2 linked regions of the Caenorhabditis elegans genome follow. The protein of the gene in region 2 interacts with the protein of the main gene of each other region in a pairwise test. Each region holds a gene or a part of one and is shown on either strand. Other genes may lie near its edges.

The links. Proteins that work in one complex are often made in the same cells at the same time.
Region 1: the proteins of picc-1 (region 2) and jac-1 interact in binary tests that used the Caenorhabditis elegans proteins (3 or more experiments, as listed by UniProt).

What each region holds. Positions count from the first base shown.
Region 1 is NC_003282.8:16,024,736-16,028,490, forward strand, and holds the start of jac-1 (Fibronectin type-III domain-containing protein), read right to left. Parts: upstream 2,113-3,755; coding exon 1,958-2,112; intron 1,819-1,957; exon of another isoform or gene 1,794-1,818; intron 1,698-1,793; exon of another isoform or gene 1,677-1,697; intron 1,654-1,676; exon of another isoform or gene 1,633-1,653; intron 1,421-1,632; exon of another isoform or gene 1,400-1,420; intron 1,255-1,399; exon of another isoform or gene 1,234-1,254; intron 1,072-1,233; exon of another isoform or gene 1,045-1,071; intron 894-1,044; exon of another isoform or gene 873-893; intron 836-872; exon of another isoform or gene 815-835; intron 687-814; exon of another isoform or gene 663-686; intron 317-662; exon of another isoform or gene 296-316; intron 33-295; exon of another isoform or gene 9-32; intron 1-8. UniProt on the Caenorhabditis elegans protein: May act as a positive modulator of hmr-1 function during epidermal morphogenesis. Required for proper localization of other junctional components, such as pac-1.
Region 2 is NC_003283.11:6,016,883-6,020,637, reverse strand, and holds the start of picc-1 (PAC-1 interacting and coiled-coil domain-containing protein 1), read right to left. Parts: upstream 1,645-3,755; 5' UTR 1,633-1,644; coding exon 1,608-1,632; intron 1-1,607. Other genes in the region: aps-1 (AP complex subunit sigma), read right to left, coding at 1,888-2,179, 2,434-2,537, 2,586-2,663; rpt-2 (putative 26S proteasome regulatory subunit 4), read left to right, coding at 2,970-3,132, 3,179-3,399, 3,445-3,755. UniProt on the Caenorhabditis elegans protein: Linker protein which helps to recruit the Rho GTPase-activating protein, pac-1, to adherens junctions.

The sequences.
Region 1 (3,755 bases), on a different chromosome or scaffold from region 2:
GTCAAATTTATTTCAAAGGTTAAGTAACAATAATATGAGTTTAACTTGCAAGTCGTTAAAAAACATATTGAAATAGTTTTTTTTGCCAAAATAAAGTGGCCTCGATAAAACTTTCATTAAGCAAACATTTTTTTTGCAAATTTTGAAGAAAATTAACTTGGAATACACTTAAATAAAAACTGCTATTAAAACATTCAAATGTTCAATTTATTCTTATTTATGGTAGGCTGGTTACATTAAAAAATTTTTAACTTGGTTTTGCAGTTTCAGTTGCATATACATTGTCAAACAAAAATTAGATTTAACTATTTTTGGATCTGATAACCAAAAATGTTCGGAAAAAAGTATAAACCCTTGAAACCGAAACTATTTTTTTCAATTTCTAAAGTTTTGCCGCAACTCAAAAGTTGCAATAAATGACCACTAGCGTCGTCGTTCCAATCCAATGATATACCAATAAAACATAGCCGAAACGAATATTAATGACAATAATAAACATTTTGTAGACCTGGCTGAGAGATAGTGTGGGATTTGGAGAGACGGAAGACACAACACTAATCCGATGCAAAAACGGAAAAAATAGGACGGACTGTTTGTATTTGGCGGCGGTTAGGGTTTTGAAACGGCTTTTTTGGAGGGAATTAAAGAGAGGTGAGATGGGAATATCGGATGAATTAATGGCACTATCTTTAATCAATTTAAGTAGTTTTATCTAAACAATTTGAAACAGTAGAAATTTATTTTTCGCAGTCGAGAATTTTAGAATACCGACTTTATGCAGAATTAGGTTGCTTTTAGAGAAATTATCAACTTTCAAAATATATCTGGTTTCCGACTGCCTTTTTATTTTCGAGAACTAATATGTTAAGCAATAGAAACAGTCGGAAAAAAGTTTCCAAAATTTTTTCCTTGACAAACTCCGATTTTCTATTTTTTAACGAAATATTTTACTACTTTTCAGAAAGAAAATTTTGAAATAGGCAACTTTTAACCAGTAATTTGTTTTACAAAAAGTGGTGGAACAACGGTCAAAAAGTGGTTGATTTCTCTGCGTTTTGTTCAAGAGCGAGAATGTCACTCAATTCAGAGCAGTTTTATCTTAAGGTGTAAAAACAGTAGAAAAAAGTTGATACCAAATTGTAGAACAAAACACTTTCTGTATTATTGCTTTGAATATTTTGGATTTTCATAAATATTTTAAAGAGAAGATCGTAAGCTATGCAGTACTACTAGAAAGGACAGGCACTTAAATCAATATTTAATGGAAAATTAAAGGTTTTATTTGGGAAACTAGAAAAAGTAAAAATAAGTGTTAGATTTTTTAGCTAAAAGCCGAGATTTGCTGTTGTTATGCAGAATTAGTTCGTTTTTGAAAAAATACACTACTTTCGTTTCAGCTTGTCAACGAGACCCTATGAGACTGCCCTTCTATTTTGGAGCAGTTATATCTTAAGAACTAGAAACAGTTTTTTTTTTAATTTTTAAACTTAATTTCTAGTTTCGGAATTTTAACTATTTTTTTAATACGCAATCAGTTATTTCTTTTGTTTTTTTTTAATTTTAAGAGTATCAATTTGAATGTGTGAGATTATTCAGAGAAAAAAATCGAGATCATATATAATAAAAACTTATCTGTTTTTCTTTGATGTCAAAAAGAGCTTAGATATTTTCAGTGATATCTAAGGAACTTGAAACTTTAGAACATTTTGTTGGCTGAAAATTTAATTTTCTTCAAATAAATATGTTCTATGCCCAATTTTTAAGTTAGTTTTTGATCAATTTTTCATTTCTGGTTTTGAAGTTCGATTTCAAAAATAAGTGCTTTTCTATTTCCTTGTACTACTTCTCAAGAACCAGAAACTGCAAAACTTTTTTTTTCAATTTCAAAATTAATTCAAACTTTGAGATCTCTTTCAAACCCCTCCCAAAAATAAAAATTCCAAAAAAAAAAACTAACCTAACTAGCGTATTAATCTGTTCCGAAGTGTACACCTCCTTCTTTCGCATCGTCCTTTTAGCGGTATCCGACATAGCTCCCCACTCGGAGCCATCCGCCTCGGTTCCCTCCTCTGGTATGGGCTCCATTTCTTGCATCCACCCCGAGGAGATCATCTGTAAAATGTTGGGATTTTGAGGAGGAATTATTGATTATTTAAAAAGTGGACGGAGAGTTGAGAGAAAATGTTAACAATGAGACATCAGATATGGTTTTATAACAGTGCTTATGAGTACTATGTGAAAAAGTGAATTTTTTTCAAAATTTTTTTTTAAAACAAAATTTCACCTATTCACATTTTCGATTTATTTTGCAAAAATTTCACGAACAATTACGTGATCTAGTTCCGAATAGAAAAAATAACATTTTGATATGCATTCAGGAATAATTGTAAATTTTAGTATTCTATGGAGAATTCTGTTAAAACCTTGAATTAGCAGTTTTAATAGAAATCTCAAAATTAATTATGACAATTTTAATCAATTTTTGAGTGAAGTGAGAATTTTCATACGAAAAATATATATTTACTGCATCGTAGTACAATTAGTTTTATTATAAAATTAGCTTTTTTTGTGAACATTCTGAAACAGTACTTGTCAGTAGAGTAGAGAACAAAACAGACCGATTTTTGAATAATTCTTGAAACGGCCAGTTTTCTCAAAATCGAAGCGTTTTTCAATTGAAAACAAAACGATTTAAGACATTTCTGAAACGGTGAAATTTGTTTTTTCGAAAATGCAAAAAACTCCACAATTTTTTCCAGAAATCAACGCGTATTCCGGATTTCTAGCAACAAAAAACGTTATGCGACGAAGATAATACATTTTCCTCTTAAGAAATTAACTTTTCAGCAGTTGTAGAAATTTTTTTGAAAAATAATGTTTCAAGTTATCCATTTATTATCGTAAAATTTGCTTCTACATTGAGTACAGCTCACATTCAAAAATTGGTAATTCTTTAAAACTTTCATTGAGAAACTTTCTAACAATCAAAAATTCCTAAATTAATTGAAAAATTTTGAAAACGAATTTGACGATTTTCTGCACAATTTCGGAATTTTCGTAGAAAAATTTCAAAAAAAAGCTTTTTTTAAAAAATATCATTTTTTGAAAAAAAAACCGTAAATTATGAAGAACTGTTAGTAAACCGAGTAATATTACAAAAATGCAGATGAAATTTTGGGAAAAGTCAAACATTTTCATCCAAAAGTCATTTTTTTCAAATTTTTAATAATAATTTTAATTATTCTGTAAGAATTCAACGTAATATGCCACGTGGAAGAAAGTTTAGGATGGAAACAAATCTAATTACTCAAGTAAACACCATACTGCAAGTTAAAAAATTTATTTGTTTATATGTTACTTTTGAAACGGCAAATTTTTTTTCCAAAATTGTCTTTTTTTTAATAGCGAGATTCATGGAAAATATAAAAATGCTCCAAAACTTCTATTTTCGAAAAGAACAGTAAAACCAAAAAAAGCCAAACCAAAAATATCATAATTATTAATCAAAGCACCCGTCTCCCATCGGAGGTGGTAGACAATTGGTGGGTGCAAATAAATTTTTTTTGAGCAAGATTGATGAGCCGCGATTTGGAGGGAGCCGCTGAGGATCCCAGTGGGAAAAGTGTAAGAGAAGGCACTTTTTGGTGGGAAATTTGAAAAAAATTTAGGATTAAAATTGTTTCTGTTTCAAAATGTTTTCAAAGTTAAAGACAAAGTTAATGTGAAGTTTTATCTCAAAATGTTCATTTTAAGCG
Region 2 (3,755 bases):
CATTTGTGTAGAATTGGGATTGACTTTGAGTAAATGAAAATGGATAGTCTCGTTCGATTTAGGTGTCGAAGTTAATGCCCCGAATGAAAGAGGAAAAGGTGGATTAGACGATACTTTCATGAGGAACAACAGACAAAAAAAGACAGTGTAAAAACTGAAAGAAAAAGAGATGGTATCTCGATAAAGGTTCCCACACAACTAATCTGATCTTATAGATACATAGAGAGAGGATTACGTCTATTTTATTCAGCGCAATATTGTGTGCACAATAACGTTGCAGAAGAACACATATGACGATAAATAATTGACGTTGGTTAATAGACGTATTCTGACTAGGAAATGAGGGCACCGTCACGTTTCCGGGAAGTATATGCAATAGGAAGACTGTTTCAGTCTGTTCGCACCTTTTACTGGTTGCACCATCTGGGCAGCTGTGTAGCAAAATTAAGTGTCTAATCTGTTTTTAGAGTATTGATAGGTGTGAAAACTTCCAAAAAACTAAAAAAAAAAGGTTACGATTTTGAACTGGAATTATAGTAATTGCAAATATGCTTGGTTCTGTCATCAATTGCAAAATAAAGGTTTGCCAGTAAGAGTACGACCTCAAATTGCAAGTCGTTTGGCGGGAAACAAGAAGTGAACACGGCAGGGTGCCAACATTCACACTTTCGTCGCAACTTGCGAGAACAAAACCTGGTTTAGTTCTGCGTACCCACAAAAACCAATTACTTGTACATTGCTATTAGGAAAAACTATTATCGATTTTCAACATGTGATTATTTTTAATGCACCACGTAAAGCTAATTTAAATCTACCAAGTGAAAAATGGAGTTCCGTTGAATTATATACATTTATTGTTATTACTTGAAATCGTTCTTTCCTAAAGTTAAAAGCAACTGGGAAGCGTTATTTCGAACCAACTCTTTGGCTGATTTTCAAGACTGAAAAAAATAGCGAGGTTTGTTTATGATTTCTAGGGTCTCATGGACTGCGAATATTGAAAATGCGAATACTTATTCAAATAATGTGATGCGTACTTCTGCTTTCTGCCAAGATTTTAGATCAAAAATTAACTACGACTCAAAAACTAGGTGAAAGAACAAGTGTGTGCTGGAGCAAATTGATGGATACTTGAGAGAATGAGTGAATCCGCGCGGAAACATTTCCCGCTGTCTCCGCCTTCACTGCCCTTGTTCAATGTAAAACCAAAAACAATGCAAAGTATAGTGGATGGGAAGAGGAAGAAGTATTGGGCAGAAAACATGAAGAGGACACAAACATCTACTGTACGAAAATGATTAAACTTTGAGAAAACGGAAGTGATCGAAACAATTTTGACTAGTTTAATCATACTTATCGAAATTTCAGATAAATGATATTTTGAAATTCGACACCAACAAGAAGGTGAACATTGTGCTTTGTAATCTAACAAATGACAATTCCGGCAGAGGTGCCAATCATTCCTACATTCATTCCGTTCGAACTGACATGTTACACTGCCAACGTTCGCATATTACCCCCCGTTGAATTATCCTTGAATCCACCTTTCCCCTGTTCGTGTTTTACACTCATGTGCGGGAAACTCGGCAAAATTCACATTAGCTCACCTCGTCTCGGAGTTGTGATAATCATCCGCTTCGAAACCTGAGAAAGTTCAAAACTTTAAAGAAAAAATTGAAAAAAGTGTAGAAATAATGCAAGTCATGCATTGAAGTTTCCTAACAGAAAGAATACATAATGGAAGATTGAAAAATGAATGTTTTCTTCTCTTATTCACATGAATATTATCACAACCAGACACATAGCCAGGATAAATAAAGTAAGGTGGAAGTATTTGGTATTTACGGAAGCTTTCAAAGTCAATAAATTATGTTACTATTATCTTCATTATCCCAAACCGTGATCCTCGAAGAATCCTTGTGGAGTTTCTTCTTCTTGAATGAGATCTTGGGCAGCAATCGCCTTCAAAACTTGTTTTTTACTGGTTTCCTGGATTTCACCAGCCAGTAAAAATTCGTCGAGTATGAAGTAAGCTTTTTCGAAGTTGAAGATGATATCCAGCTCACAAACACTTCCAAAATATTTGTCGAGGAGTTCTACGTAACGATGAATGACTTCCAAAGTGATGAGCTCGTTGTCGTTTTGTTCGATGGCGCAGCAGAAATACAGAGACGCGTATCTGAAATTGTTGAGATTAAAAATTGAACGAATTGTTAAGTTTTTGTTTCATTTATCACAAAAATGTCTATTAAACAACTAAATTTGACGCCAAAATATTTTTCATGAATAAAAAACGTAATAACTTCGGATTTAGGTGTGTAACTATAATTTTCAAGAAATTTTGATTATAAACTTGTAAGTTATTTTCAGAAGGAACAATTTTAAGGCATGACAGGAAATGGGAGTTGTTACTTTTGAATATAAAATACGAACCGTTTGTAGACAACTTTCAAATCCTTGTATTCGAGGAACGCACACATTTTCGGTTTTCTCGCCAGAATTTGAGTGATGAGTTCGCGGCAAATTTTCTTCTTTTGCTGAAAATTGAGTGTGAAATTACACATATGAATAGGAAATACACTTACCTTGTCGGGGTAAGCAGTGTACCATTTCTGCAGCCGCAGTTTGCCCTGGCGACTGAAGAGAAGCATGTATTGCATCATGTTTACTGAAAACAAGAGTATGAACAATCGTTTGCAAACTTTAAAACGCTGAAAATACTTAAAAATCAATTGAAAAATTAGATTTTCTGAATAAAACAGACATGTGGCTTCGTCAATAAAAACAACGAAGCTCCGAAAATACGAAACCGCGCGTTGTTTAGTTCTCACCAGAGCGCGCTTGCATTGTCATCATCAACGCTGTATTTTTTTAAATCATTCTTCGTTCTACTTATTTTATATCTTTCAATTGTTTTCTTTTTCAAACGTGGACTTATTATTTTTCATATAAAATCATTATTTTCTAGAATGGGGCAACAACAGTCAGGTTTCGGTGGAAGAGGAAATGACCGCGGTGCCGGAGATGGAGAGAAGAAGGAAAAGAAGAAATATGAGGCACCGATTCCATCTAGGATTGGAAAGAAGAAGAAGGGGTCTAAGGGACCTGACGCCGCTAGCAAACTTCCAGCTGGTAAGTTTCAATCTAGTGTGTATTTTAACTGATGATTCGGTTTTAGTCACACCACATGCCAGATGCCGTCTGAAGTTGCTGAAGAGCGAAAGAATCAAGGATTATTTGTTGATGGAGCAAGAATTCATTCAAAACCAGGAGCGTTTGAAGCCACAAGAGGAGAGACAAGAAGAAGAGCGCGCCAAGGTGGACGAGCTCCGTGGAACACCAATGGCAGTCGGATCACTTGAGGAAATTATCGATGATCAGCACGCCATTGTTTCAACTGTAAGAATCAATATATCGATAATATTTTCTTATTTCAATATTTAGAACGTCGGAAGTGAGCATTACGTCAACATCATGTCATTCGTCGACAAGGAACAACTCGAGCCGGGATGTTCAGTCCTTCTCAACCACAAGAATCACGCCGTCATCGGAGTTCTCTCCGATGATACAGATCCTATGGTGTCTGTCATGAAGCTCGAAAAAGCACCACAAGAAACGTATGCCGATGTTGGTGGTCTTGATCAGCAAATTCAAGAAATTAAAGAAGCAGTTGAGCTTCCACTGACTCATCCTGAATACTACGAAGAGATGGGAATCCGGCCTCCAAAGGGAGTTATTCTATACGGTTGTCCTGG